Rhinolophus ferrumequinum: one gene and its partner. The protein of the gene in region 1 purifies or fractionates together with the protein of each later gene. This does not show direct contact. Links are inferred from orthologs where the notes say so. Each region holds a gene or a part of one and is shown in the gene's direction. Other genes may lie near its edges. The genes, in order: ADNP and ZNF644.

Region 1 (16,534 bases):
ACTGAAGTTCTTTAGAAGCTGCTGAGGAAGCCGTAAGCATCATCTTAAGCAAAATAATTGTGCTTTTTACAGAGCACCGTGGAGGGCAGGGCTTAGGTTAACGTCTAATGATCAGCCCCTGGGGATGGAGGCCCCTGGCCCACGGTGCCCAGTCCCTGCTCATCCTGCAGGAGGCTTCACTGGTCACGTGCTCCAAAGAACAGCACTGCTTCCAGGAATTCTCTGCACTTTCTATGAATATTTATAGCATTGTCTCTACAGAAAAGTTGAAAATCTTTAATATTTACGTAGAATTTTTTTCGGTTACCTTGGTCTCTATATGTTTTTTATGTTAAAAAAAACAAAATTCTTGTTTAATTGGCACAAAGCCTCCTGCTAGGTTTCTGAGGTTTCTTAATTTTTGTTATTCTTGTTTAATGTGAGACTTGCTATAGTACATGAACTGTTTTACATGACCATGCCAAATGACTAAAGACTGCCAAATTCTTTTTATCTCTGAAACTATGTTCGTTCATCTATTTTTAAGGCCCAAACCCTATGCATTAATAATTTATATTAGTTGATATTTGCTTTTTCCACTAATGTTGATTCTTCAGTCCTTCGTTAGAATTGACACACACCAATTAGGAGCTGGCTGTTGAAGGTAACTACCGTGTTTCCCCGAAAATAAGACCTAGCCGGACAATCAGCTCTAATGCGTCTTTTGGAGCAAAAATTAATATAAGATCCGGTCTTATTTTACTATAAGACTGGGTATGATATGATATGATATAACATAAGACCGGGTCTTATACTAATTTTTGCTCCAAAAGACGCATTAGAGCTGATTGTCCGGCTAGGTCTTATTTTCGGGGAAACACGGTAGTATTTGTAGTACAGCTGCAAGTCTGTTAAATATCAGTTCAGAGATGGCAAGACAGAGGTGAAGAGAGAATATTTTTTTTTTAATGTCCTTACTTAGTAAAATGAAAGTACTTATGAGCCAAGAACAACAAAAAATGAAAGAGAGGAACCATCACAAATTAGAGGTCAAATAATGAAAATGAAGCCTCTCTAGAATTAAAATGTAAACTTATTAGAAAGCAGAATTTGGTGTATAAAAGACAGATTGGGGCCCATAAACACATCCCTTTAGTTCCGCAGTTCAAAGCAAAGGAATAAAATGTTATCTGATAAGATCACTGATTGCCATGTAGCAACAATGCAGAGAATCCTAACACAACGTGTCTACAGAGGGAATGGCCAGTATGGGCTTCGCAGCCACAGGTCTGATGAGTGAATGAAAACACAGGGTGGCTTCATGGATTGGGGAGCTGGGGGCCTTGCTTTTAGGCCTGGGTCACCTAGTTACTTCATCAAAGGGCCCTTTCACCTATTGGAAGCTCTGCAGATGCTTTCAGAAAAGCTAAAGGGTGATTCGTTTTAAATCCAACAAATACTTACTGAGTGCCAAGCATTGAACAATAAAGTCCCTGTCCTCATGGAGTTTACACATTCTAATGACAAGAGACTTACGACTACATAAAATACATGCAGCATCATGTGGGGATTGTGCTGTGGAGAAAACACAGCGCGGAGAGGAATGGCCAGGGTGCCTCACAGCCGCCATCAGACTCCTGTCACTTCAGATATATTCTAAACTGGTTCTTCTGAATTCTTAAAGAACTTGTGTGGGCAAAAGAATGCACACACTAGTCCTTCTCAGGTTCTCTAAGGAATGTGCTTTCTGTTGTCTTATATTCACTTAAAAGCTTGAAAAGCCAAAAGGCAAGGTGGCCTTAGAGGAAGCCGGCGGGGGGGGCAAAGGGGGGGGAGGAAATGTGGGTTCCAGGTAAAATCCTCGGGCATTGTAGATCCAGGTGAACTTAACTCCAGAGAGAACAGTTAACCCAAAATGCCTCTCCTAACTTGCTCTAAAAGGGAGGCGGGAGGAGACTGCTGCCTTCTTACTGACTGAGACTGATTTTGGGGGGGCTTTTTGTTGTCGCTGTTGTATTTGTGTTTCGTTTCACTTCAGTGACTGAAAATGGGCTCTGTGTTTGGCCTGCAGTCTGTCTAAAGTTAGGCTGCACATTTGTCCATTATAAGTATCTAACTGGGACCTCAATGGCTGATATCTGTGTCCTACCATGATGGCCTCAATCTCGTGGTGCCAGTTTCCTGTCTTAACCTAGCTTAACCAGGCTCATCATGGGGAGACTTCGTTTATCCCAGGAATTTATTTAGTAGACCTTAGGAAATAGAAACTCACCGTAAATATTTAGGAGGAAACACTTGTTGATTACTAGATTCTTGTCATCTAGTTTATATTGTTGCTCTTCACCTATCACCTCTATTATTCCAATATTTGAAACAGTTTCTCTTCTTTCAACTTTAAAAGTAAATTTTAAGAAAATTTAAAAACTCAATGAGTGGTTCTGCTTCAAATGATTCAGTTTTCCATATTTTTATTTCTGATAGTATGGTAGGAAAATAATTCTCTAAAAGATGCTAAACACATTTTCAAAATTATTCTAAATTATTTACAAAATAGTTCATGACCTTTCTGGTTCAGGACAAATGTATCATATCTACTATGAGAACTTTTCTATATCCAAATGGCTACTGAAAATTTTAGGTTTTAGAAATATCAGTGAACTTTTTGAAAGGTCAGGATACATGTAGGCAGGTGTATTGACGCAGGTGTTCATATATATTTTGATTTTGTACAGGTTATACCGAAAAGAAGTTCTACAGAAATTAATAGAAAAATGTGTTTCTAAAGGCTACGTCTTCCAGATGGAGATGATTGTTCGGGCAAGACAGTTGAATTATTCTATTGGGGAGGTATGCAATTGATGGTAATTAGTGTGTTGTATTCCTCATAAAGAAATAATGAGGTTTAGTCTTTGTATGATAAAATGTTTAACTTTCAGAACTACTAAATAAATTTGGAGGGCTTCCAGTTGTTTAGAATTTGTCCATACACTAAAGAGTGAACAATCACATCCCTTTCAAATTAATACATTTGACCTACAAGATTTAAAACAGTAATGGAAGGCAGCATTCCCTTTTAAAAATTTAAAAGTTACTGGTACCTTCTCCATCCTTGCCCTTTTTTCACTTAGCATTCTGGGATGAGTTGATTTGTTGCTTTTCCTCTTGCCATAGACAACAGCCACCCTACTTTAAAATGGATGATGACACCCATTGCCCATTTCCTATGAGTAAATGAAAAAGACAGGCATTGCGGGGGCAGGGTCTGTAATATTTACAGCTAGCTAGTGAACTTCGGGCAGATTCTCCTCGTTTAACACTAATACTCTTATGCAGAGCAAGAAATAGCTGACTAGAATGCCACTTCTCTTGTGGAAATTATAAGATTTTTAACTTAATACTAAAACAGTGACAGCTTAATTTGATGGACTAATGAAAAAAATTAAGTGAAAGGACATTTTACTTTTGGAGTATAATTTTTCCTTGAAATGCAGTCTGAAACTTGGGTAAACTAACTTAATCTGCAGGATCAATACTCCTCAAACAGTTGTCGACTTGGTTCATATGGTCTAGTTTTAGGTAATAAAATGCATGTTTGAAGACTTGGAGGTGCACACAGTTGCTATAAGAGTCCCCTAATTCTGAACTTAATTGAAGGACTTGCTACTGTAGGACTAATCTTATTTCTGCTGTATTAGTAATTTTTGCATGCCTGCTATGCTTTCTTTCTAATATTTTTGAAGACTGACTTAATGTATTATTTTTTTAACTAGGTTCCAATATCATTTGTGGATCGTGTTTATGGTGAATCCAAGTTGGGAGGAAATGAAATAGTCTCTTTCCTGAAAGGATTATTGACTCTCTTTGCTACTACATAAAAGAAAGTTATGCATTTATATTATGTTCATTTCAATTTAAACATAAAGGAAGCCTGCCTGGTTGCTGAGTTTTATAATATGTACTCTTAGAGCAAAATCATAAGGTAAGGTAAATTTCACGCAAATCTTTTTTCTAAAGAAACTCCATTTTATATGTCAAATTAGAAAAATGAGCAGTGTTCTCAATTTTCATTTACATTTTGCTGTATTAAGACCTATAAATAAATGTATATGGGGTTTTTGCATAAAACATTGCTTTCGTAGAGTATGTGAATGCAGAATTTATTACGGGAGGAAGATTTTGAAATATTCTTTATAAAAACTGGATTCATAGCTCTTTGTACCTTAGCAGATGTCAGAATAGGAATGCTAATTATATTCATGAAATATTATATGACTTTCTGTATGAACTGAAAAAGAAATACACATCTCTGCCCTTTCTTTAAAAATGAACCTCAAATTTCTTAAACAGATAAAACAGTACATTTAGAGCATAATTTTACAATTTGGTTCTTTGTAGCTGTTGAATTGCCGAAGCTATTCATCTGTCAAAGCAAGTCTTTAAAATACATATTGTGAATTAGAAATAACTTGACAGCAGTTGATAGCACAGCTGCTTTTTTTTCTTCTGAGCAATAACTTCTATCAGTAAGGGAAAATATTGATGGTATTAAAGCATAAACTTTAGTGGCTCGAGTAATTTTAAAACATCTTACAAACTATGCAAAGATTTTGTTCTCAAAATATTTCTTTTCATATTATTTCAGGACCCTCAACATCTTTACTAATAAGACAAAAATTCTCTATAGTTCCTCTCTGTTCAGAAGTGTTCTGACAGTTAAAATGCAGGTTAAGTTGTTCAATAAAGCCAGCGCAAATATTCTGTTTGCCTTGTCTCAAGTAGGTATTTCAAAAAAGATCTGTTTCTAACTAGCATAGTTTTTGCATCATGCAGTATCTTTTAAATTTTTGGGTAATACATACTGTGAGCAAATAAGCCTAAGATCAAGTTGACTTTCCTTTGCAAGTAAAAGGAAGAAGCATCTCTTAAGTTATTTAATAAGCATATTTAATGGACAGTATTCCTAATTACTACACTTTTCTGGCTTAATTTGGCTGCTAAAGTCAAGAAATTTAAAGTCTGATTTTTCCATTTGCATTTCTAACAGATCCTACCAGAAATGAATACCAGAGTATAAAACCTTTGGTGTCATTTTGAACATTACATGTTCCATTGTTGAATCCACAGGACACATTCCAATAAAAGCCTCTACTATTATTTATTTCCCGTTTACACTGAGCTGGGTGGCAGCCCACCAGGTACTCACCTTCTTTGGGGAAGCGACTTCTCTCATTATTGACTAGAAAATTCATCACTGTTCAATGTAAAATTAGTTTTAAGTGAACATAATAGTAATATAATCTTTTTTCTCTTTTTTTTAAGTGTTTAGAATCTCTTCTTTTTCATGTAAACCCGAAGTTCAGTTTTTACTGTCAAGTAGGTGTAGCAGAGATGAAGTAACTATTAAATACCTCAGAGAACCCACTGGGCCTATTGCTTTCTCAGACCTCACTCGAGTAGATACCTTTTGCCTTTTTAATCTTTTTGGTTCTTATTCTTACAAAACAACGCTATCACTATTGGAATTTACAGTAAAGAAAGTATTTGAGCATTGAAGACTTTCACCATTTGGAAGTTATTTAGAAAAGAATATTGAACTATTTAGATTCATTTTTGTAGTAAATGTGGTGACTTAAACACTGTAAAATCATTTACATGTGAATCCAGCATCCCTTTTTAGTTTGTAAATGAGGCCAAGGATGAAATCCAGATGTTCTCTCTTTGTATTTGTATTATCACTGTATGAAATCTAAGATAAAATTATTTTGCTTATTTCACATTAGCTTTTGCCTGTCTTCTGCAACATGGAATTTAGAGTCTTCATCTTTGTCCCTAAATCAGATGCTTTGCCCCTCCCCCCCTTTTCTTTTACAGTTTTTTTCAGCTTTTGTTTTCCTTTGGAATACTGATTTGGCTTTTAAGGATATTATTTTATCACAGTTTCAAAAATTAATGGAATATTGTGTTTGTTGGATGAAACAGCTTGTTAAACCTGCCAACTGAAGGCGTAGGCATTGAGATACATGTAACCATAATTTGTACTATTTTTCAATTAAGATTCTTTAGGGGTGTTAAGTATAGTTTGAAACTATGTTAACTTGAAATTTAGAGAAACAGCAAAGATAAGTGTATTTACAGAGCACATCTTAAGGAAACAGGCTTGGTTAATCCTTCACACTTGGCATTTACTTTCAGTATGTTTAGTCAATGATACACTCTTAGATGCATTCTGCTCTTAAAGGTGGGTTTGTTACCGCAACGTGTTGGTTGGGGTTGGCCTACATTTACAAAGGCAAACTGCCTAGATGCTGTCTTACGCTGTCAGATTGTGGGAGCACTAAAAGTGTCCCTAGGACTGTAGTCAAAGTGTGTTTTTTAAGGATTGTGGGGTAGGTCCATTGGAAACATCATTTCTCATCCTTAGGCTTCACCAGCCCAGTGGCCTCAAGGCGTTAGGGATCCCATTTGTTTTCTTCAGGCCAAAGAGAAGAGCCCATCACGGCCTTGGAAGAACGTCAAGTCTCAGGGCAGCAGCCTGCCTTCTGTAAAACACAGACCCTGCCCACTGAACAGCCCACCCTACCAGGAATGGGTCAGGCATCCCTGGGGTAGTGGCTCATCTCAAGTCGGTGTGTGAAGCATGAGGCCCTCACACCTCATTTAAGGCTGGAGGCGTCGGCACAACCTGCCAGGTATCCCTGCCGGCCGCTGCTGCCCAGCCCGTGAGAGCCCGCGCCGTGCAGCACGTGGAGCCGCAGGGCTGCCCGCACGCCCCCTCCCGCCAGATGTAGTCCAGGCCCAGCTGGGCCCGCGCAGGGATCCCCAGCACGGCCACCTGACTGAGTGCAGGGCGTGCTGCGGCCCTCTGCTTGTGCCTCCGCCGCCGGCGCTGCGGGCAGAGGAAGGCACCCACCGTGCACACGGGCCCTGGAAGCGCACTGCGGCCATTATCCGCGGCGCCTCCTAGTGGGTCAATGGCAAATTGTCCTGGTTCTCGCGAGAGTTCCCCCTCACTGGGGATTATATAATTTCCCTTAGGCAGGGGTAGGGGTGCCGGTGCCACCCTCCCTCAGGAAAAGTTAGGTGCAAGCACAGGAGAGCGAGAGAGTTGTGCCTGGGGGACATGTGGGGAAAGGGTACTGTCCCTCACTGCCCCCCCACTTCGCTGGACAATGAGTCCTCTTATGCTAATGAGGTACTTACGTCACTTCCGCTCTTTCTCGGCCGCCATTTTGGCTAGGGCAGGTTCGGGGACTCGCTCCGAGGCGCTTGTATTGTCTGCTGAGGGGAGACGCGGGATCAGCCCCCTCCCCCGCCCGTTGCCGCCGCCGCCTCCGCCGGCCCGGTCTCCCCTCCGCCGCCCGCCGGGATCCATGAGCTGAACTCCCGCCCCTCGGCCGCCGCCATCTTGTGCCCCCTCCCCCTCCCGCGGGCAGCGCTAAGGGGGATTTTGGCGTCTCCTCAGACACAGCTCCCTCTCTCGGTCCCCGCAACTGAGGAGCGAGAGGAGCGCGGCCACCGCCGCCCGCCTGCCCGCGCCGGTGAAGCGGCCTCTCCCACACCCTCCATCTCGTCCCTCCGCCCCTCCTTTGTCTGCACCGCTCGACGACGCTGCTGCCGCCGCCGCCGCCCGCGCGGGGACTGGAGGGAGCCGCTCGCGCCGCCGCCGCCGCCCGCCGCTCTGCTGCGCCCGCCGCGCCCCCCGGCAGCAGCCGCGGCCGCGGCGCGAGCCGGAGCCCGACGAGGCCACCGAGCCAGAGCGCGACGAGGCCCCGGGCGCGCCCTCGCCGCCGTGCCGCCGCCATCCGCCCGCCGCCGCCGCCGCCGCCCGGCCCCCGAGCACGCCGGCCCCGTGCGCGCCTCGAGGCCGAGTCAAGGTAAGCCGCGCGCGGCCCCGCGATCCGGCCCTGCTCCCGACCCTCGGTCCGCGCGGCTCCCGCCGAGCCGGCCCCGGGGGCGCATTGTTGTTTAGCTTGCCAGCCCTCCAACCACACACGCTCCTTTGCACACTCCGGGGCTGACGGACCGCCCGCTCCGCGCGGACCGCTACCCGGCTCTGCTCCGGGGGCCAGGCGCCTCCTCCTGCAGCCCGACCCCCGTTCCCCGCCCCGAGAGCCCGCGGAGGCCACCAGCCAGCCTGGCCACCGGAGCTTTTGCCGCTAATGGCATCTCCCTGCACCCCGCCCCCAGCAAGAACCGAGCTTCTCCCATCCCTGGAACTCATCCTTTCCTCCCGCCCCCCTCAACGAGTCCCCCACGCACACCCCCAGTGCCTGCGACGAGCCTCCTGCCTGGTCTACCCACCCTTAGCTGGGGGGGAGGGGGACAGAATGGGGGGCGGGGAGCATGCATGGCTCGGAGTGAAAGTCTTTACCTCTCCCGTGCAATCTTTCCTCCCCAACATGCCAGCTCCCCTCCTATCCTGACCACGGAGTCCACCACCACCCTCTTCACTCAGTCGCAGCTGCCTGGTCAGCACGACCTCTTAGAATCATTGTGCACCCCAACTTTGCAATAAGATGGTAGAAAATGGAAATCCAGAACGCTGCGAGAAGATTTTTTTTTAATGCAATGAATGGGGAGTACTTCTTTGAGCACCCTTTTATTCACCTCTTCTTTCCTCTGGGCTGCCTGCCTGCCTTCCCCTCCCCACCCCCAACCTGGATGTCTGTCTGCTGGAAAAGGCGCGATTGCTTCTCTTCCTCTTCTGCCCAACACCAGGCGCTAAGGTCTAATATCCTTTTTAGCCACACACATACCCACACTAAGTCTTCTTGATGTTCTTGCATTCACCATTTTCTCTGGACAGTTCTTGCCATAACCCCATTTCTCAGACAAAGGCTTAGGAGGGAAAAAGAACCAAACTGTTTCCTGTGCTTGCCATTTTAATGCTGTCCATCCACACACACCCAATTCCTATTCCTGATGCTTCTCGTGCCAGTGCCTTGAACCTTCAAAATGAAAAAAAAAGAAATCTCCTGGGTAGCTTGATACAGTTTCTTTATAAATCTGCATTGTTGCTTCTGGTTTATGGCCATGAAGAAAATACCAGCCCCCACCCAAAATGCACCGCAGCCAAGTCGGCTAAAGGCGATGAGTGTTGGAGTCAGTAGGGGGCGCATTCCCTGCACTGGGTAAGGCTGCAGAGGGGGGAAGGGCCCCAGAGCTAGAACAGGATGTGCTTCACAGCGCCTTCTACAGACCATGGGAAAATGGGCCCAGCAAGACACGTTCTGCACTCTTGGTGAGCTGACAGCAGCAACATGGCGAAGGATTAAATGAGTCAAGAGCAGTGATTTTTATATCTTTAAAAGAATCCAACCTACACTTCAGAAGTTCTGTCTTTTTACTTTTTCCAAACTGTTGACTCCAGACAATCCACATTTGTTCTTCACGAATCACCTTGGCACATCCTTGGTACACAGATTTCCCCTTCTGGAATTCTTCCACCCTTAAACTTTGAATGTTTCACCATATCTTCCCAAGGTCAGATGGTAAAGGGGAAAGTTTAAAGCCTGAGTTTGGGGTATTGCCGATTACCTCCCTTCTTCATGGCCCAAATCTTTCCAACTCTTGGAGAGTTAACTATTCTTGAGGGATGCTAGTGGGGTAGTAATTTTCATAAGCCTGTAGATGGGTGTCATGATTTGCAAAGCCTTGTTGGTAAACATCAAGCCCATGTTGAGTTCTTCATTGTCAAACTCAACAGAGTTTATTGTAAAATTTTGTTTCCTTCCAACTTTGGACTTGTACTTACCACTCATTGTCTCAGTAGCCAACCACCTTTGCAAAAGTGTTGACACTGGTCTTCTGTGAGCACCCACCTTCTTAGGGTGTGTTGATTTCTATAGATTTTACTCCTCTTGTTATTTCCATAGGTGTGAGATGCACAATGCGAAACCTAGGCCCCAGCTTTTGCACCATGATGCACAGGGTTGTACTTTTTGTACTGAACTGATAGGTGGCCTAGTGGTTATGCCCTGTACTACCATTTTGAGGATCTGGACTCCGTTCCTGCTTTGCTCTTTGGACCACATTGTCAATTCACACCGGTGGGTATATTCATTTTGGAGGGTGGGAACTGCAGCAACAGGGAAGCCAGAGATTTCCTCCTTGGTCACCACCAAAGCCAACACTTCCAAAATTTCAGCCTAGCCACATTCCTCAAGGAACCGGTTAGAGCTGGTTGCAGTTGTGGGTTCTGAACAGAGAAATGACTTATGGCTTAAGAGAGAAACTTTAAGTTGCTAATATTGTTTTAATAATTTCCATTCTGCACTCTTGTATATAAACTATGTTAAGTTTTCTATTGTGTTATTTTGATGATCTAATCGCAAGAGTTGTTAAGATTCTAAAATACCTTAAAGATTCTCTGATCAGAACAGGCTTTTCCATGAACATGTACTTGCTACCAAAGATTGACAGTGGTTGTTAATACTCAAGGATATTTTTAAGACTTTGTTACAAGTATTTTATGTAGATATATCAAGATCAATTTATGGGAAAATGAATGGATGTATATTTTGAGAATGGGTGTATTTTTTGATACATAGTTAACCAGTTAGTGCTTAAGGGAGACTTTTCATTGGACATTTGCTATCAAGTAACATTTTGGTGAGTGAACAGGAGGCAGTTTGGTTCAGGTATTCCATTAGAGACTTAACTATATTGCTTTTGCAATTATTTAATAATTGCAAGAATCGTATATTAAATGCTTGTTTGTAATTTTAAATACTTAGTATTTGTTAAACATATGATTTTGACCTGTATTTGGTCTTTGATGTACAGTTACATGAGTTTTTAAATGAGTAATTTGAAGACAATTTCTTGTTTGAGATGAAGTTTCTGAAGATTCTTTTGTTTGTTTAGCAAATTATACATAAGATACAGTGTTAACTGATGTCCATAGTGGTAATAGCCATTTTCCCCCTACAGGAAAAGTTGCTGTGAGCTCTTAGGAAAGCATGTATTCTACAGTTTCAAAGGTTTCCTGGTTTTGACACTCAAAAACAAAAAAAAGGTGAAACAATTGGGCTTGAAGGCTGGAATTTAGGTAAATTGTGAGGGGTTCGTTAAAGTATAGTAAAAAGCCTCAGTTAACTAGATGGTGGGGTATGGGTATCCTGCTTAATTGAACTTTAAGTAGAAATTCCTTCATCTTGGTTCTTGTTGACAGTTTCTTAAGACTATCTTACTAGAGGTGCTCTACGTTGAACTAGCTAAATCTTTTGTTTGGGTTCTTATAGTCTCTATACAGAAAATGTTGGCAGTTGGCCTCGCCCTACCTATCTGGAAGTCATTGGTTTTAAACATACCCACTGTGAATTTGTTATGCTTAAATTTTCTCTTTTTTCCCTTAAACCAGAGTGCAGGAAAAGTTGTAATACTATTTATGTTAAAATTAACCATCAGCATGTTGAACAGATTACGTTACTCTTATTTTGATGCCCCAATCTCAAGAGTTGATAAGCTTCTAAAAACTTTATGAAGTTTCTCTGATCAGAACCGGCCTTTCCATGAACGTGTGCTTGCTACCAAATAACCAACCAGTAGGGTTTTATCAAGTAAAATAGCTTTTGATTTTCATTATAACATACATGCATGTATTATTTATATTTGATTACTAAAAGCATCATTATATAAGATACACTATGAGTTAAATTGTTGCTTTCCTTGTAACTATTTATAAATTTTGAAAAATGTTAAAAATAATTCTTAGTATTTTGAAATTTTAAATACTCAGCAGTCTGTATTTAAGATGTGCACATGTTGGCTACACATTTAATTGACAATTAGTTTAATAAGGAAGATAGAGCTGTTCTGTTATAAAAGAGCAAATAAGGATGAATAGAGAAGAGATAAAATCTTCAGAATTTAAGTGTATTTTTCTTTTGAGAAACACGAAAGAATTGCATAAATTGTAATAGATCTTGACAGATTAATTCCATTAATCAGGGTCTGTATGTATATACACATAAAATACATTCTGCGTTTTTAGAGTTGGAAATGTAAGTGCAGAGGAAACCATCAGGATTTAACATAAATTTTTTTTAAATAATCTGTTTAAATCTTAGTAAAATAAACTTTTAAAAATGCTGTGGAAGTATTTAAAAATTGATGTTTTTATTTGATAAGATTAGAAGCTAATTTGTAGTTTACACCAAGATGCCCAGTACTATTGCATTATAAGCTACTTGTTCATCCTCGACTTCCACAGGACTTTCACTTTAAAACAAGGTCAGAAACTCTGTTATGTCTTCCAGAAGATAAAATACTTTCCATGAGAGTGTAACTTTCACTTACTTGCCTAAAGAGACATGAAGATTACGAAAAATATTGCTCCCCTATGTGAATAATTTAATTATAGTTAGATTCACAGAGCTTGATGTGTTGTTATTGGCATCATATAAACTTAGTTTTTCGTCCTTTAGTTTTGTAAGAGCTTGAGATATTGAATCTGAAGCAAATGCCGTATTTTACTGATGTGCATCGCTGTCAGTTGCACATTTTATGTTGTTTGTTTGGAAACTTGGCATTTGAAACTGTTATGAACCAAAGCCCGACACTAATTAACTGAATTGTTATTTTGAATGCAAAAGCTGTTTCTTGTTTACACATCGGCACTTTCCACCTTGATTGTTGAGACACTTTATAAAAGAAACCATCCATGTTTTGTCCAGCATGAGTGGCCGTAGTTCCTCTGTGACTTCATGGTTTTTTATTGCCTGTTTGCCTGATCCTGTTACTTAGAAAGTGGTAGGAAGGATGATGGTGCTCCCTCAGTCTCTCCGTGTCTTCGTACTCCTTACACCTCAGCTTTGTACATGACCTATATACCTTTGATATCTGCCAGGTTAGGGGTCAGCTTCAATGAGATCCATATTCTGCTTCACTGGGAGAAGGCTCCCCTCACATGTTACCAGGCTTCTCAAATTGGGACAGCGTATATATCGACTTGATTTTATATATATATATATATATACACACACACACACACACACACACACACAGTCACAGATAAAATGTGAGCGAACCATGTAAAATGCCAGTTTTGATTGGGAGTGCACATTTTTATTCTATTAGTGTAAAATGCAAAATTCTTTGCAATCTTTCTGTTCCGGGTTCCTTCATCTCCACATGTGTGTTCACTGCTCTTTGCCTTTAGTTGTTCTTTGAGATGCACTCATAAGCTGCCTTGGTTTTACTGATCCCTAGCATTGTTCTAAGACGACAGTGAGAGAAATCCTAAAATCTTAAGAATTTCAGCAGTGTTCCAGAAATAAACGTTTGGAAATTAAGAGGAGGGCATAAAAGATTTTTGATAAGAGTTCGCACAGGGAAGACTGCCCTGAACATACATTGCAGTTTAAGATTTAACTCAAAAAACATGCACATAATCTATAAGAGACTCACCCTTTGTTTGACCCGCCCTTAGAATTGAAAATAAATCCCTACATGTCCTAATTCCCTCTCCAGTAAGGGTGTGTAGATTTGTAATTGAGTCACTCAGCTTTGGGTTGTGTTTCTGTGACGTTTCTCAGATGACTCGGTTGGTCCCTTTAATGAAGATGAGCTGTCAGTGTGCACGGCCCCTTGTTGGCCTTTATGGTGTTATAAACTACTACTGCCGGCTTGCCCGTTTTGTTTTCCAAGTATCTTATAAACCATTCTCAATTCTCTCAGGACTGTCCCTGTTTCACAAGTAGGGAAATGAAGGCACTACCACATGCAATGATGAAGTGAGCCCGGGAATATGTCTGGGCTGGTTCCCAGGCCTGTGCTTGGAACACAGGCGTTTATAATGCTCCTGTGAGCTGTTTGATTAATGAGGGCTCAGATGAATAGTTCATAACTTCATAGTGATGTTTTGTGCTTGTATGTCAGCTAACACCCAAGGATCCCTGATGGGCTCCACAGTTAAAGGAGCGAGCTAGCCATACCCCCAGCAAGACAGTATAGATGAAAATTGTGTTGGTGGCCGTGAGTTGAAGTAGCATATGTCTGGTTTGAAGTTACTTGTATAAGGATCAAAAAAGAAAATTTTTATAGGGTCCCTTGCTTTTCCTAGTATTTTAGTTAGGGCAGCCTTGTTCTTTCTCCCCTGTGAGCAGTTATTTTTGCTTAGACAGATAATTGCTGGCTTTTGCCCTTCTGCCATTTCTGCCATTCTGAGTGCTTTATACTCCATGTAAGAGCTTGTATAAACCTGTGCTTCCCTTGAAAACCTGTAAAGCTTTCCTTTTCTGGTGAAAGCTGGTAACAATTGAGAGCCTGTATGAGTGGTCTTTTTTGAAACCTGGTGTATCTAAAGAAACTTCTGTCTAGTGGAAATATGGCAGAATTTGTTAGATTTTTAAATTAGAGTTGTCAGTTTAAGTCAACAGTTAGAATTCTTGCTCTTTTGAAAGAGATGAACTGAGACTGGGAGTGTCCTAAACACAGGGAGTGCTCAGTTCTTGTTCAATCAAGATCAAGATAGACTTAAAAACCAGAAAAATAAAAATAAAACTTCTCTGCAGAAAATGTAGCCATCAAGTGTCAAAACCTGCTGTAAGAATAATATTTTTGCTACAAAGAATAAATGCTTTGGCTAGCTAAGCCTTGACTCTAGGAAATGATTTAGGAAAAACTTAAGAAGATGATTTAAATGTTTTTTATTTTTCAAGAATGATGAATAAAATAATTTCTCGTTATGGGAAAATTATTTCTGAGTAGTTTTGCTAGAGTGTAGAAAACTTTTTAAGGGATTGAAAATAATCTACCTTTGTCTTATGCCATTTAGATGCAAAGACCCAGCAACATGTTTCTGAAATGATTCCAGAGGACTCCTAGGCCCACTTGTGAATTAATTTCCCTTTTTCTCGTTTCTCTTAAGCCAGGTTTTCCACCTGTATTGACAGCAAGCCTTTCTGAGCCTGTGGCATTCTTATGTAGGCAGCAGAGTGCTGAAGTCACTCCCCATGACACGGCCCTGCCTTGCAGGAATGCCTCTTTCAAAAGGAGTAAATTGGGAAATGCTCCCCATCTCGCACTCCCTAAAGCTAGATTGCGATGTTAGAGATATTCTCAGTCTTTTTTTCTTTATAAGCAGTGAAGTGTCTTTCCCCCTTTCAAATAAAATTTTATGTGAACTCTAGTAGATAACATCGATTAAGGGTTAGGGGGCCACACCTCTGGTTGCAGTTGCTTAGCTTTCATCTTTTCCATCAGGCATCATCTCCATCCGTATATGTATCTTACAGTCTCTCAGCACTCTCAAGTATATCCTGAAAACCATTGGTTCCCTTGGTGTTCTAGAAATGCTGATATTGACAGCTAGGATTCTTGTCTGAAATCTCAAAGTAACAGGATAAGCAGCAACATAATAGCATTTTCCAGTTGTAGGCACTAATCTTTTAGTCTGAAAGTCTTAAAAAAGGAATGACCCACATTTTTTTTAAAATAAATATGAAGAATCTAGATCATACCTTTGTTTCTACATCACTGTAAGTCACCTCAGTTTATTTTGGGTATTTGCAGATGTTCTATTGCATAAGCATTTTAAGTGCCACAGCGCCTGTAAAGTTAAGAATATGCTTACTGTATCTAACGTGAATGGTTCACACAAATGTATAAAAATCCTCTATGTATATATGTACGTTTGCACATTATAATGTGTACAGGAGCAAGTATATGGCAAACACATCTGATTCTCAGGAATAATAGTTCATGCTTTTAAAAGATTATACCCTGGTGTGAACTCATAATTTTCGAAGTGATTATTCCAGTACCTGATCTAGTTTAAGCTATTAGATTGGTGCAAAAGTAATTGAGGTTTTAAAGGTTAAAATAATTGCAAAAACCGCAATTACTTTTGTACCAACCCGATAATAATGGTAACTGCTTTTAAGCATTAACTGGCATCATCTCATCTAATCCTTTTGACATTTAAACAATAGTGTCCTTTTGGTTGTACAATAAAGAAACAGATCTCCAGAGGTTAAGTAACGTTTTTAGGGTCACAAAGATAGTAAGTGGCCGAGAGAGTATTTGAACACAGAGCTGCCCCGCTCTGGGGCTGTATTCTTGGTCACTACGTCATACTATCTTTCCAACAGAGGAAAGCTTTACTGTGATATGTCACCTTCTTGTTATAGAAGTTTGAAGTGAGGTCAACATTTTTACCTCATGGGTCAAATTTTTACCTCAAAGGTCAGCTAAATTTTTGTCCATGGACACAATATAATCTTATTTGGAAACACAAATTTTGATGCAGTCTGTAGGCATCACCCTTGAACCTTTTTTCTCTTTCCTTTTGCTATCACTTCAGTATCTTATACCTAAGGCTCTGGTGATTTTGCATACCTTTCAGACTGAGTAGGGCTGAAAAATGTGTGTAATCTTTTTCTGTACTGCTAGGTACTCTAGAATCACTTAACTTTTACAAAACTAAAAAATAGTTGAACTTCTCATTAAAGTAACCCCAGCTGGAGTAACTCTATTCAGTTAAGGCAGAGTTAATTGGGTCCTTTGATACTGACAATGATAAACAGGGTCCTCAGATAATGTCGTTTCATTC
Region 2 (16,518 bases), on another chromosome or scaffold:
TTCGTTACTTCCTAATATAATAATATGACCTTATAATTTACAAAACCGAGTTTTTGGGGCCCCATTTGTTTAGTCATAGTAGAGTTGACTGTACATGTAAGATGAGTGAAACAAAGGAAAAGTGTGGAGTGCTGGGGGGATGTGAGGTGAGGGGGTGGGGGAAAGCCTCTCTGACAGAAGGACATTTAACTAAAACCTGAAGAATGAGTAGGAGTTAGCCCCGGTGAGGGAGTGGGAAGATGGTTTTAGTCAGAGACAGCCTTCTCCGAGGAGCCTTCCCTGGTCCCCAGACTGGCTAAGGTCCTCCTTCTTGCTGTTTCTGAGGTGCTACTGGGTGCTTACTCCTATCTTATACTTATACAATGTTTTTTTCTTTGTTTATCTCCTCCATTAGAATGTAAGCTCCTTGAGGTCAGGGACTCAGTAGTTAGGACCCATTGACCTATCAATTCCCTTTGTGTGAAGTAGGAAAGAGGAATTAGAAAAAGACCTTCCCTGGGCAGGGGATTGAAACAGGTGACACTCTGAGCAGAAGAATTAGAAATAGGCTGAGGTAGGCCCTTGGGTGCTAGGATTATTTTGGAAGGAAAGACAGTTTTGTGGGAAAAAGAAGGCATCCTTTCCTGAAGAAAGATTCAGCCCTGTACTAAGGGGCATGATTTGGTGAGTGGAGAACAGGCTGGATTTTAGCATCCATTCACTATTTGGCTGAGTATCTTTGTGCAGTGCACAAACTCCACAACTGTACATAGTGACTGTATGGATTTTTCACTACCGTCTCTTCAATGACTAGTAAAGAGCCTGACACATAGTAGATAAATATATATGTTTTTTAATTTATTGGGGTGACAATTGTTAGTAAAATTACATAGATTTCAGGTGTACAATTCTGTATCACATCATCTATAAATACCATTGTGTGTTCACCACCCAGAGTCAGTTCTCCTTCTATCACCATATATTTGATCCCCCTTACCCTCATCTCCCACCCCCACCCCCCTTACCCTCTGGTAACCACTGAACTATTGTCTGTGGGTAAATATTTTTTAAAAATCAGTCTATAGAAATAAAAGTTTAGATGAACAATCCCAGTGATGTCTTACTCCCATGTGTATTCCAGACTGTCAGCTATGGGTATGGAGGTGCCTGGCCCCAAATGGTGGTGCCATGTGGGAGGCAGTCATTTCTAGTAGAAGGTCACAGTAGCCACTGAAGATAGCTTGTTGTATCAGGGGAGTAATGAGGTAACTGGTAGGACCTATTCCTGAGCATACATGAGACTCCCTTAAGGAACTGTGCAGGGTTGTTAAGAGGTCTGCAGCAACAAGTGGTGTCAAAGTAACTGTGAAGGTTACTTCTGGGTTACTTAAGGAGCAAAGAAAGAACTTGGCATGAACTGTCCTCCAATGTTCTGTAGCATTTGGGAAATTAGCTCAATTATAACGGCCTGATCAGAGTATGAATTAAGGAGATTAAAGCTTGACATTGTTTTAAACTTAGAAGAATGATATATTGGGGCCACTACTAAGTTTATGGAAGTCAATTTACCAAAACAGAATTAGAGGAGTTTCTAGAAACATCAGGCCATTATTCTAAGATATCACTGATTGAAAGATATGCCATTATTTTATGAACCCCTAAGAAAGCAAAAGATTGCCAATTACAAACTATAGTAAAACACATCTTGATTTCAGAGATGTTACAATATTTTTTAAAAAGTGTTACAGGATTGATGACATTATGGATTATAAAATACTCTATCTTTTTGTGGTTTTAATGTATTTTTACATATCTTTAAGGAAAATAAGAGTTATTTTCCTGGTGAGAGCAGACTAACATGTTCAACTTCCCTTGACAGGTACGTCTTCATGGCAGAGTGCAGTTTGCTATCAAAGTTTCATGACACCATCTGTTAAGATCATTTTTGTATAATTCTTTGCTCATTGAGCAAATAATTTGGTATTCCCAGCACCCTTCTCTACAGGGGAGGGAACGTGATGACCAGTCTGCCTGCGTATACCATTGTGTTTGACAGTCAAAACTTTTACTGTAAATTAATATGTTCACATGTGATTTATACATTAGTCTTTTATATGTTTCATGTGTCTGAGCTTGATCAATTCTGGTTTAACTGATTCTCAACCTGCAAAACTAAGAGTGAAACCATAGAGGAAAATGACTCAATGGCATTCTCATCATTATCTGAGGCACTAGTTGAACAATAAGCTGACCTTTTCTTTGTCAACTTTAAAACGTAAATAGCACTTTTTTAAAAAAATTAGTTTATTGGCATGACAATTGTTAGTAAAGTTACATAGATTTCAGCTGTACAATTCTGTAATACATCATCTGTATCTCACATTGTATGTTCACCACCCAGAGTCAGTTCTCCTTCCATCACCATATATTTGACCCTGTTCACTCTCTTCTAGAACCCCCCCTTACACTTTGGTAACCCCTAAACTATGTCTATGTCCATGAATTCTTGTTTCTTCATTTGTTTGTCTTGTTCTTTTGTTGTTTTCAGTTTTATATACCACATATCAGTGAAATCATATGGTTCTCTACATTTTCTGTCTGATTTATTTCGCTTAGCATTATAATCTCAAGATCCATCCATGTTGTTGCAAACAGTACTATTTCATCTTTTCTTATGGCTGAATAGTATTCCATTGTGTATATATACCACACCTTCTTTATCCATTCATCTATCAAAGGACACTTTGGTTGTTTCCATGTCTTGGCCACCATAGATAAAGCTGCAATGAACATTGGAGCACATATGTCTTTATGCATAAGTGTTTTCAGATATTTTTGGTAGATACCCAGGAAAGGGATTGCTGGGTCATATGGTAATTCTATTCTTCATTTTTTTGAGGAACCTCCCTCCACACTGCCTTCCATAGCATTCCCAATCTGCATTCCCACCAACAGTGTATGAGGGTTCCTTTTTCTCCACAGCCTCTCCAACACTTGTTGTCTTGCAAATAGCACTTTGAGTATATGACTTTTGATCTCTTTTACTATAAGATATGTGAGAGCTGAATGTGTTCTATTTATTTTTACATTGTCCAAGAGCCCAGTACAATGCCTGAAACATTGTAGGCACTGCAAGAATATTAGAAGAGATGATGGGTCTGTATCTTCAGTGCATCTTTCGTCTCTGGGTAAAAAAGGATTAAATTTATCAGCCTCCTGGAGACCACAGCCATTCTATGTTGAGGGTGAAGTATGGCAATCAGGAAGGGATCTGACAGTTTGTAAGAGACACTTCAATGTTCTGGAATAAAAAGAGAAATGGATCAGAAAAATAAAGATGACATCACCAAGTTAATTTTTAGACCTGTATTTCTATTTCAGACTAATTGTTATCTAAATCTATTTTTGAAGGTTGCAACCACCATTCTTTTCCATCTTACAATATATTTAGAAAATTTAAGTAAATAATACATGATAGAGATTTTAAGTTTCAATTTGAAGACATTTAATTTCATTTACAATTAAGTTAGATATCAAAGTCCAATTGCTAATTATTATCATGTAATTAAACACATTTGTACAATTTTATCTCTCAATATTGATAACAAAGGAAATCAACACATATAGTGTAATATTTTGGCTTACTATTTTACGTTCATTTTCTTTAGTAAAGCACATGGATCGCTGAAATTACAGATGCCCTTTTTCCTTGGATGGATCTCAACCAAATATTCCGGAACATCTGGAATCTTTCACTTTGGAAAAAATAAACAATGAAGGCATTTCTTAAGTTTAATGTGTGTGGAGTTTGAAGAAGGCTAGTGAGAGTTTTTATCTTAACAGGAGAAGGCTGGCTGATTAATTACCAAGAATCCTGGAGCAGTGGCATTTAACTAAAGCCTCCATTTGTCTCTCAGCCTTGTGAGTCCAGTTGCTAGGTTTCCAAAGTTGATCAGACTCAGTTACTATTTCCCCTTTCTTCCCAAATCCACTGCAGTGGGCTGAGCCACTCCACTGATCTTGTTCACACCATGGTCCCCAGTGATCTTGTATAGCCAATGGACACCACTTATCTCTCATAACCTCTCTGCTACATTTACACAGGATGTGCAGAAACCCTGTTTTGTGCCCACCAGTCCCATTTCCTTTCCTGCAGGACATAGAGCCTAACTACATTCCCCAACCTCTGTCTAGAGTGCTGACTAGAGTGCTGACTAGTGGAAAGTGAGAAGTGACCTGTGCCACTTCCGGGCTTGGCCACTTCACCTTGTCACACTCATGATTCTCCACGTGTGTTCTCTCTCTCTTTGCAGAGGATCCAGTAGAAGATTCTAAGGGGATGGCAAAGGCATATACAAGTATATAACGGTAGGACCTTAGGTGCTTGAATAACTGCTCCCAGGCCTCCACCACCCGCTTCCCACTGACTTCAGTAGAGTGTGATGTGAATAAGAAAAAAACTTTACTATGGTAACCCATGGAGATTGGGGTTATTTGTTGCAGCAGTAAGCTGTTACCAATAGCTCCCTGGCTCTTGCTTGTTACACTCTTGCTTGAATCTCTTCTTATTCCTCTGTCCCTTCATTTCTTATTTTCTTGGACTTTTTCTCTACTAATTCCTTAAATATTTTTTATCTACGTTTCTGTGGCCCACTGTTTACTTTCTCTATATGTGCTCTGTGAAAAAGCTCATATACTCTCATGGTCTACTTCGGATAACTGAGAGTTAGAGTAATAAATGTGTTCTTAAATATTAGATATAATTTTTACTAAATATAGTTATACTAAACCTATTTTGTACCCTGTTTTACAAGGTTTTGTTTAACGATGATTTTGAAATCTTTATTTTCTGTTTCCTCATCTTTCCCATACCCTGGTAAATTGAGAGTTGATGATACCTTTTTGTCTAGTTCTTTTATTGGACTATACAAAGCTCCTCATTTATTTAACAACTACGTATTGAATATGTACAAGGAACTGTCTTATTTCTCTTTTTGCTGACAGTGCCTAGTACAGTACCTTGCATAGAGTAAGCAATTGGTGAATATTGGTTGAATTGAATTATTTATTGTATGCCCATTATGTGTAAGGCTCTGTGCTGAGGTTACCGTGAGACAAAAATAAGGTTTGATGTATTTACTTCTTCATCTCTCTCTATGTCAAACATCCTCCTACTCCACCCTAATTAATGAACATATTATAATATTTGCAGTTTTACAGATGAGACTGCCTTGCACTTTTGGTACTCAGAGATGGGTCCAGAACCATCTCTTGTGAGGTCCTAAGACAAATCCAAATTTTGACTTGACTTTATTACTAGGATGGTAGATTAATCAAGTGTTTCATTTTTTCTTTTTGCCTGGAATTCAGAAGTATTGGAATGTTGAGAATTACCTGCTTTTATCCAACAAAAACAATTGCATTTCCTTTTTGATTAAGTCATTTGAGACCACAGCTTATTTGAATATTTTATTGGGTAATTCCATTCACTGGAATAACTAATGGATTCATATATTGTCTAATATTGTCAGATTTTAACATATTAACAATAGCCAGGTCTTTCTTTCTTTCGCTCTCTCAGCCTCTCTCTCTCTCTCTCTCTCTCTCTCTCTCTCTCTCTCTCTCTCTCTTTCTCTCTCTCTCGATTCTTCATCAGGTGAATTCATCAGAGCACTATTTTATTATAGTGAGTAGATGTGCTTTGTGAATTTTCTCTCGGGGCCAAACTGTTTTTTACATCTTGATTTTCGTTCTCAACTACAATTTCCTTTTAATGTTTTTAAATATTTTGGCATTGAGCCACATAACTGGTTCTTGGATTTTTCCAGTTTGCCTGCTTTTTACAATTTCTTTACACATTACCTTATCCAAGCTTTCTGCCCTTATCTAGTTTTCTCCCACTTATAGAAAGTTTTTTGACATATATTTTGTTTATAAAATTTCATCAACTATTACTACTTTGACTATTACAGTTACTACTATTACTATTTCTTTAGTATTGCCATTTAATTGTTGAATTCTAGTATAAACAGCTTCATTAGTGAGATAAGTGTCTGATCATGATTGAGTTGTAAGTAGTTCTACTTTCTTGTGGTATGCTCTGTCTGCACATCAGTCAGTCAGTAGTGTACATCCACAACTGAGTTTTTTTTGTTGTTGGTAACTGTTTCTGTAGTGATACAATATTGTGAGTATATCCATAGTACATAGTACTTTTATTGTTTATTGTAAGTCAGTATTAAACTGAGAATGTCCAATTTTAATGGATTCTGTAGATGAAATGACCCAAAGGACACCCCACCATTGGCTGAAAAAATTTTTTTTTAATATTTTATTGTTTATCGATTTGTGTAAGTGAAGAAAGAAAAATTGCATTTTGAAAGAGTCCAAAGAGATGTGTGACTTTGAAAAAATTACCTAACCTCTCTTTCCCTTATTAGGTTGGAATGAGTTAAACAATGTTTGGCACATAGTAAGCGCTCAGAAGTGTTAGCTATTATTATAAACGAATGCAGCAAGTATATGTATCTGTTGTTTGGAACCTATGTTTGCTGCTGCTGCTGCTGAAGTCACTATCTTATAGGAAAAAGAATGTTTCCTACTGTTCTCAAATAAGTGTAATTACAGTGTATTCTTCTGAATGCCAATAACATCTTGAAGGTTTGGAGGAGCACAGATTATGATAGCTGCTAAACTAATGAAAACTTTTTTCCTTTTTTTAATGAGAAAACAGAGATTCAGAAAAGCCAAAGAATTTATTAAGGCAGGACTAGAAGATTGCTCTGAACTTGGTTCATATGAAACATGTTAGCAACTTCTTGTTTGTTCAGTTCAAAAGCAAAGACAGAAATAGCCTCTAATTTGTGTTTCTCAAAGTGTGAAACTCTGCCCTCAGACTCCCATAGTGGATGCTTGTTAAAAGAAAGATTTCCAGAACTCTCTTGGGGCCTACTGATTCTTTGAAGGTTAACCCATGCTCGCTCAGGTGCTTCTTATATCGCTTTAATTTGGAGACTCATGCACATTCAGTAATGCAGAGAGAAAGTATCATCAGACTCAAATTGGACCAAACCCAGGGCACCTTTGAGGGTAGGCTGTTCCGCTAATTGAGATGCCACATTTGATGCTTTGCCTGGCCATCAAGCATCTCCCAATAATTGTTCCCCTTCAAATCCAAAAACCTTCCTCTGCCATTACTCTGCAGTCGTAACTGGCAACTTGAGTTCTTTAGCTGTTTTCCTCAACAGTAGGAAAAGAAAAGGAATCCTGGCACGCTAGTGATTGTGGAAATCAAATATGGGCCTGTTCCACCTTAAAGAGCCTAGGCTTGCCTAAGTGTTTGGGTCTTGCAGAGTTTGGGCACCACCATATTTGGAGCGTGCCTACTTTGGGGCGGGAACCTCCTTGAGAGTGATTAGGTCAGCGCTGGGGGAGGTGACCTTGTTTGGTTTCTGGCACCCGACAACAGAGGTGCACTGTTTCTGCTCCCCGGTTTGTCTAATTGGCCCAGGAGCTCCACCAGCGCGAAGCTGCCCAAGAGCTCTTCACTGGCCACCCCCGCGGCCCGCAGCTCGGTAGAGGCGGGAAAGCAGCGCGCCTGCGCCGTGGGAACCGGGGCCGGAGGCGAAAAGCGGGGAGCGGAGGGGGGCCGTTGGAGCCGAGTAGCGTACAGTGCAGCGTGTGACGCGGGGACGCCGCGCGCTCCCAACGTCGCCCCGGTTTGACGCACACGGCACCAAACTGTGAGTTTCAGGGGTTATTTGGTCGGATTCGCCGGGACCCGAGTGGGTTTCGGGACTCTGGGCTGTGGCGGCGGCGGGACTGAGGGTGGCGGAAGAAGTTGGGGGACCCGGCCTTCGGCGCTTGGGCCCGGGGAGCTACGCCCTAGGCTGGGTCCCAACCATCCAAAAGGACGCATTTTGCCGCACAGGCTAAGATGGCGGCGGCGGCCGAGGAGGCGGAGTTGGTGCTATACAAGGAGCCCGGGCCCCGGGTTCGGGGAGGTGGCGGCCGCGGCGGCCGCGGGGGGCGGCGGAACCTGAGGTGAGCGGCGGCCGCCGCCGCTGGGCGGGACTCGGCGGAGGCGGTAGGGGGAGGACCTTTCCACGGCGGCGTCGGAGGACCCGGTAGCGGACACAAAGGGGCTGAGCTGGGCACTAGACTTGGGGGTTTTGTTTAGTCACATGAAGACGAGCAGCCAGTGAGCAGTAGGGGGAAGGGGCCCAGATCTGGCGGCTTGGGGAGCCTGGCGGTCGCCATTGCAATGCACTGAGTAACGGGGCGGTCCGAGAGCAGTCACCAAGCCCTCTCTTCGTGGCTGCCCCGGCTTGGCCAGAAGCGCCAGCTCTAGCGTTAACTGTACACATCCCTCCCCTAACATGGGACCAGGACCGCATAGCCCTCCCCTCCCCCTGTTCTGCAAGATCTTATGCCGCTAGGTGTCCGGGAAGTAGCAGCAAGAGGTAAATCGCTCAAAGTGTTTGGGTTGCCAGGGGCTTGGTGGGTGTCCAGCTAAAGCTTTTTGCTTCTCCAGGTCTGATTCCCTGGCCTTTGTGTCCCTGGGAGCTTAATCTCTGCCAGAGGAAAGCAGGTGTGCTCCACTTCTCCCGTGAACCTGAAGATGAGTTGTCCCAGACCCTTCTCAGTGATTGGAAACTTAGGTGGTGGAGCTAAAGGTTTCTTGTTACGAGACTTCCGCAGACGACTCTCGTGTTGGGATCCATCCATGGTTTAGCAACATTAGTGGAAAACTTTTCTTGAACTGTTTTAAGTAATACTGACGTAAATTTAGTTGTTATAGAACTTTTATGTTTAGACTTCAAATTTTGTGTGGTCATTGAGAAGTACTCAACAAGGGATAAATTCAACTGGGGGCCTGAATGATGGTCCTGTTTTGTATACAAATTAAATAATTTCAACAGAAATACCAAAACACCATCATCTATTCTGGCCAGTCCTGACTAATGCCAGGCTTGTTGCATCCGGATGATAGATTAAATTTGCTTTACTAGTACATTGCCTCTCTGCAGTAGTTTGGTTATATTTTTTGGTCCTGCAAGAAGTAAAGCATTTCAAAAATAGACAACTCAAGTTGCTCAAAGCGAGGAAACCGGCTGTTTGCCTTCAGTGTCATGTGTAAGTATCCAGGGAACTTGATGGCAGCAATATTGCATTGGTAGGTTTGGAAAGAAAAAAATAGTTTTTATGAAAAAGTTATAATTTAGACATTTTAATAGGTGTAACATGAAGTTTTGACTAATATTAATGCCATGGTATATATCTATTGCTGTTAAAATTATGGCAGTGTAAATGTTAGAATTTCTAACAAAGTTATACTGCGCTTAATGGCTGCATTATACTTTGTATATTGGTATTAACTAATTTTTGAAGTACAAAATTTGGAAACAACTCATGTTTTGACCATGTCACATTAACAAAATTATTCAAGTGACTGAAAGAATACTTAAACACGTTTCGATCACTAACTTTAGATCTCTGTTCAAATTTCAAGTTGAACTTTTCAACTTTATTTAAAATTTTCCTTTTCCTTTTATTTTCCCTCCAGATTTCCCTGCTTTTAGCTTTTCTCCTAACAGAGAACAGTCTTCTTGTATTAACAAATAGGCAATATTAGCATTAGCAAAATGTATTACTGAATTACACAGTTTTAGAGTGGAAGGAATCTCGAACAACTAGTCTTACTCTCTTATGCTATATTGAAGGTCAGAGATGATTAAGTTAGTGGCATAATGGAAAATTCTCAACTTCTACCCCATTGCTGTTTTCATTGGTTATGTTGCTGGCATGAGAAGGTGACTCTGTAACTAATAATGGTTAAAAAGTAAAACAAGGAAGTGTGTTTGAGAATACTTGTTAATTAGGTGCTGTTTATTAGAACTGACAAGTTAAAAGACATTTAACATGATATGATAACTTAGTTTTTAAAATACTTCCAGTGAAACAAATTCAGATAAAAAATAACACATTTCAGAGCAATGTTGCTTTTGAATTTGGGGGTTTTCAAAAAGCAATCTTTTTATTAAAACTTTTATTTATTTTAAGTGTGTTTTTCCAGGACCCATCAGCTCCAAGTCAAGTAGTAGTTTCAATCTAGTTGTGGAGGGCGCAGCTCACAGTGGCCCATGCGGGGATCGAACCTGTGGCAACCTTGTTGTTAAGAGCACCGTGCTCTAACCAACTGAGCTAACCGGCCGCCCCTCAAAACCCAATCTTGATTTAAAAAAAAGAAAAAAAAAAAGGTAGCTTGATAAACTTCTTGGAAAGTTTGAAATAACTGCCATTATTACCAGTTATTACATAAGAAATGAGATGCTGAAAACAATGGTGCTAGTGCCTTTCATTTTGTAACTGTATTTTAGTTGGGTAAGTTAACATGCCTTTTAATACTGGTTCTAGTTAGAAACAACGTAAGACTACTGCTACTGAGTAGTAGTTCTGTAAAATCTATTAGGAAATTCTTTCAACAAGTAGTAAAATCATTTATAGTGGAACGCCATAGTTATCTTGAACTTTTTTGGATATCAAATTTAACAAAAATGGTTAAGTTGTATGGAGGTTTTAAAGCTTTTATTTAAGGTGCATTTAAATTATTGCCTTTTCTAAGAAAGTTGGTAAGTTATTTTTAAATTTTCAACACTATATGAGTGGATTTAATTACACGCTAGTCTTGTGATAATTAGAATTACTCCCAGAATATTTACAATTATAAAGTGAATCTGTCATTTGCAAACCTTAAAAATTTTGCAGGTTTAATTTGTCATTCAAGTTATAAGGGGGAGAGTTTTGGTTGTGGTTGAATTGACATTGTTTTGGATAGCAGGAGGAGAAAAGAAAGACTGAAGGACAGTCACTAGAAGTGATTGGGATATCTGCACTTGAGAGAAATTGGTTGTCAGAAAAGATCAGATTCACCTTTCTCTCATCCCAAACACAGTTAGAGTTTTGAGTTACTTATTTAGACTCTTTCTCAGGTTGTGATTCCAAAGGAAAAGAGTGGACCTGATTCTTGTAGGAATGTTTTTCTCGTGACTGCTTGCTTTGCAGGCAGATCTTAAGGCAGCTGTAGTTTGCACTGAATGCAGAAATTGGTATGTTGAATTACTCAGTCCTAATTTTATAGAACATTAATTTTAGGAGTCCTTTTAAAAAAAGTGTTCTTAATTTTTAAAAACATCGATTGCCCTATAAAATAAAAAAAACCCATGAGAATAAAAGATGGCTACTGTAATATTTTGAATAAATATTCAAATGAGCTTTTTTTTTTACATTTATTTATTAATCCCTCTGGTATAGAGAATGTTTGTTTTGTAAATATTAAACAAACTTAATGAGATGTAGCACTGATTGAAGCAATTCTAGAAGTAGTGTCTTTTACTTTAGGTTTATTAGAGGGAAATAGCTGCTTTTAATAGTGTAAGCCATTTACACCACTGAATTTTGAGAGAATTGAGAATAATCAAACAAATTCTAGCACTAGCTCACCCTGCTGGTTGGCTAAAGTATCTCTCTTCTTTCCCCTCTTAAAAAAAAACAACAAACAAAAACATAAAGATCACTTGAGACCTAGATGATAAAACACCAAATTCAATTCATAGTCTCTCTTCAGGGAGGTGGAGTCTCTATGAAAAAGGTTTTCTCATCTCATCTCTAGGGCCTCAGTTGCTCTCCTGTTAAATTTAATTTTTTCTTAGATCTGCCAAAGTTGAACGATGGAGTTACTATTCTCTTTGAATTTACTGGGAACTCTTAATGTGATTATGGGGAGTTGGTATGTTTTTGTTCTTTTAAATTGAAGACATCCTTTGACAATTGAGAGATTTTAGCAAGAAAAACAAGTTTTGTGAGATAACTTCCCAGGAGGAGAAAAGCAGAGGATTTCAAAAGGGAGAGAAGGAGGATAATGTCAGGGCAGAAGCAGCAGCAGTGCACACTTCTCTTGAATGGGGAAAGGTGAGACTGGATTATGGTTAGTGTTTCTAAGAGATTTCCTTTACACTCTCCCTCTACTTACTAATCATTGTTCTACTGCATCTACAAGCTGTAGCCTTCCCATTCATTTGGGATTCTGGGAACTGTGATCTTGTGAATAACTTTGTGAAAAGTATAGATCTGATTTGTTCCTTGAAATTTAAGGAACAAATTAGTTAGTCTAGATTGTAGTGCAATTGAAGTTGGTTAGTGATAAATAAAAATTTTAGGTTATTAAGTGTTTTACTGTGTGTGTCATTCATTGACGTTGCAAATACAGCTTTTAAGACTTTGTTCAAAATCCAGAAACGTAAATGTTATGAGCCAAACTTATTATTTAAAACAAAACAAAACTAATGTTAGGATTAATTTATAGTTTACAAAACACATTTACCTATATTTTATCAATTATTGATCAAATTTTTTAAAAGATTAACATTTTTATCCTTCCATGGTGTTTATCCTTTTATTCAAAAGCATATCTTTTTCATCAGTTTCTTGAGGAAGATGTTAAATATAACTAGTACTTTCAAAAAACCATTTATTGGGGCGGGAGTGATTCCCAGTTGTTGAATGGTTTGTGAAAGTAGATAAAAACCTTGTCAAAGTTGGGATAATTGCCTGTTGCTCACTATCGACTTACTGAATATTATGTACACACACAAACATATGTAAGTTTATATATACACAGAAAATCATAGTTGCATTTCTAATTATGTACATGTAAATAAAGAGGCAGGATGAGATAAGATTTGAAAGTGTAAGCCTTGAAGTACAACTGGTGAGGTTAAAATCTAGCTGTGTGAGCAGTAGGTAAGTGGATTTAACAATAATACTGTATTACTAGCTTTCTGATATACAGCAAATGCTGAGTAAATGTTATCTTTTATAATAGTAATTGCCATTGTTTAATTATTTTTTGAAATTTTCACATGTGATTTGGATTAGTGTACTTTTGTCAGTGTTTCATTTTTAGATCCCTATCTACAAAGGGAATGCTGTTATAAAGGAAGTCAGAGGTAGGCATCACACTGTGCCTCATACAGTTTTAACATTTTAACAGTTCAGTATTTCAGGAACACATTTCCCTTTTATGACTGTCAGCTGATGAATAAATGCACTTGGGAATGGGTACATTTTAGTTAGGTTATTTCTCAGTCAGTGTATTGATACATATTTTTTTTTTTTTGGTTACAGCTTCCTGAATTTCTTCCCTCTAAATTTTTGATCATGAGGATGGTGGTGACCATTAGCAGAGAGAAGAGGGTGTGTGACTATGTGTATTTGTATGTAATGTACATGTAAACCCCAGATGAGAGTGAGGAGTGACTTCAACAGTAGCTAGATTTTGGAGAGGCATGTTATCTTTTCGTTGCTTGATTTTTCTCAGACAGCATTTCCTTTTACCATTTTCCACACCACACTTTGTTTTGTATATGTCTGTGCTGGTATGGCCTTAAACTTACTTCTCCCTTTAATTTTTCTTCTGTTTACCTCCCTACCACCAACACAAATTTTAAGTTAAAAAAAAAATATAAAAGGCAGCTAGTAAAAGTAATTTTAAGTTCACTTGAGGGGTGTGAGTGTGAATTACTAGAAGTTTAATTGTGCTTAAAAAATACTTTCAGCAGTTTGAAAAATAAAGGGGGGAATTCACCCATAATCTTAATCACCATTTTATATATATATATATATATATATATAATCATTAGTGTTAAAGGAAAGGGAGATAAAACTGATACTTTTTTTTAATACTGTGATGTGTATATTTCCATTTTACATGCAAGGGAACAGACTCGGGTCAGAAAGTTAGTAAATAATAGAGCAGCCAAGTTTGAATCTAGGCCTATCTTGATTCTACAGATGAGACTTTCTATTCTGCCTTCCTGTCCTTTCTATGTATTTGTCCTTTAACCTAATTATATAATTTGTAAGTTTTATCTCCTACTTATAAAACTTAACATTGTAAGCGCATTTTTTTTGCCTACCCTTATTTCAAATGGTATCTTATTGCCCACATTGTTTATTCATACCACCATATAAAGGCTCTTTGTCTGGGCTGTTGGACATTGGTACAATGATATTGGTCAAAATGGAAGCTGCCTTTTTCTTTACGGAGTGACTAAGAAGAAAAATAGCTTAATCAGAAATAATATATCTGGGATTAGAAATGCTGCTGGTTTAATAATAACTATCCTTTCTGGGGAGACATTTAACTCAAAATTGGCTATATGTAAAATGTAGATGACATTTTCAATTTATAGCTGTATGAGAACTGAACTTAAATTTTTATACTTTTCAATGCTTTAAGCTTCTTTGTTAAACTTTTTAAAAAGGATATTAAAAATAGGCACTTAATAGTTTAGTTACTATTAATAATTCCTAATGTAATAATCCTTTATGGCGGGGAAAAAACTTAATATTGAATTTTTACACTCATTTTTACAGTCATATAAAAGATAGTTTGTGGGGCATTTATAAATAGATTGTATTAGGTTAGCATTACCCAATAGAGGTATGCTAAATGACAAATGTGATTTAAAATTTTCTATAGCCATGTTAAAAAATAAAAAGAAATAGGTAAAATTAATTCTATTAATGCATTTTATTTAACTCAGTATATCCAAAACATAATATGTAAACATGATTGAGATATTTTGCACTTTTTTTTCACACCAAGTCTTCAGCATCCAGTGTGTGTGTATTGTACTTGAGGCACATCTCAGTTCAGACTAGCTGGCTTCAAGTGCTCAATAGCCACATATACTATATTCAGCAGTACAGATACAGATAGTAAGTTCTGTACAAGTATGAAGAAAGGATAAAGTAGAAATTGAACCGAGCCTTAAAGGATAGCTGAGAAAAGAGTGTTATGGCGAAGAACATTCCTGCAAAGTGATGGGAATTAAAATGGGAGCTATAACTTGAAACCAGATAACAGACTGGCTTGAATCCAGTTTAGGGAATTTGGTTTCTATGGTGTGTGTGTGTGTGTGTGTGTGTGTGTGTGTGTGTGTGAGAGTGAGATATTCTATGTCGGAAGGTGCCTAATCCATGTATACGAGCATTTGAATGAATATTGAATTAATATTTAAGTGAATTAATATGAGGCAAAATAAGAAAAATTCTGGAAGAATACTAAAAAACTTTGTGAATCTTCTAAAAAGAAAGAGTTGCATTTAGGGAATATTCGTGTTCTATGATTAGCTATATGATGGAGATGATCAAAAATGAGAGATTTTTGGGTTTGACCATTGATGACTTTTTAAAATGTTTTACTTAGATATAACTTACAGAAAAGTGCTCATATGATGAGTACAACTCAAAGAAATTTTACATATAAATATACCCAGGTAACTTCTCCCCCAATCAAGATATATAACGTTTTCTGCACTGAAAAAGGTACCTTATGTCCCCTCTTATTAATTCCCCCTTACCAGAATTACCACTATTCTGTCCTCTTATCACCATAAGTAAGTATGGCTTGTTTTTGAACTTGCTTATGGCATATTTGTCTTCCTTTCTAAGGGTAGTGAGAATTGATTCTAACACGTTTTCTATTCTTGTTTGGCATTGTGTGAATTTGGAGGTTTTTTTCCAGTGTGGTTTATATCACTATCAGAGAGATGTTTCATAGTTTCATTAATAGTAAATAGTAAAGAGGTTAGCTTTATCATTAGAAAATTTGTTTAGAATGTAGAAATTTGAATTGCTTCTACAGATAACATTAATTGTCTGGCTTGCTTTCATTCTAGTATTCTCTAGGCATATAGCCAAGAAGTAGGTAGAGGTCTTGGATTGCCTCCTTATATAGATGCCTTTTGGAACCTCTTTAATAGTAGCTTCTCGGCATTATGTAAGTTAACTTTCAGGCATTTCAGGTTACTTAATAAGGTATTTGAGTATTTCTGGTTGTGATTGTAAGGGTAGGAATAAATTGGTGTACTTATGGTTACAGGTAAGTATTCACTCTCAACCAGAAAGATTTTGACATTTATGAGTAAGGAACTAGAATGTTACCTTCTGGACAGTTGCACAAAAGTTTGAATGATTAAACATCCAAGAAGGGCACTTTATACACTGACAAATGAAATGGAATTACTGATCATGATTTTTACTTCTGGTGCTTGAATCAGTTTTATTTTTCAAATGAAATTAATGGTTACAGCATTGTTTTCCATAAATATTGAGCAGCAGAAGCCTTGTGGTAGTGTGATAATTAGTGCTTTTGGGATAAGGATTTTTTTTGAAATATGTATTATAATAAAGTTGTAAAAAGTATATAACAATGAAAATATGTATCTTCACGTTCTAGTATGCCTAGTTTTGAGGAAAGATGTTTTATAAATTGTGCAGAAATGGACATGAAAATACTTTATCATTGTTTGGATTATGAATGCTTTTGAGCTTAAGAATGAAAATATATAAAGAAGTGGTGAAGTTTTATTTTTTTGAATATGTAATAAGTTTGTTTAATATATACTTTTGCTCCAAGAATTTTAATAGTTATCTTGAAGAAATAAAACCTCATCTGTCAACTTTTCTTATATA

What was found.
Region 2: the proteins of ADNP (region 1) and ZNF644 purify together in Homo sapiens (affinity purification with mass spectrometry; 3 studies listed by BioGRID and IntAct, with this or other methods). This does not show direct contact. The link is inferred for Rhinolophus ferrumequinum from reciprocal best matches to the Homo sapiens genes ADNP and ZNF644.

Annotation. Positions count from the first base shown.
Region 1 is NC_046306.1:8,845,606-8,862,139, forward strand, and holds the start of ADNP (activity-dependent neuroprotector homeobox protein), read left to right. Parts: upstream 1-7,691; 5' UTR 7,692-7,853; intron 7,854-9,854; 5' UTR 9,855-10,028; intron 10,029-11,011; exon of another isoform or gene 11,012-11,029; intron 11,030-16,534. Other genes in the region: DPM1 (dolichol-phosphate mannosyltransferase subunit 1), read left to right, coding at 2,712-2,826, 3,750-3,854.
Region 2 is NC_046292.1:68,782,652-68,799,169, reverse strand, and holds the start of ZNF644 (zinc finger protein 644), read left to right. Parts: upstream 1-7,436; 5' UTR 7,437-7,721; intron 7,722-7,796; exon of another isoform or gene 7,797-8,022; intron 8,023-8,179; exon of another isoform or gene 8,180-8,441; intron 8,442-8,512; exon of another isoform or gene 8,513-9,114; intron 9,115-13,164; 5' UTR 13,165-13,233; intron 13,234-16,518.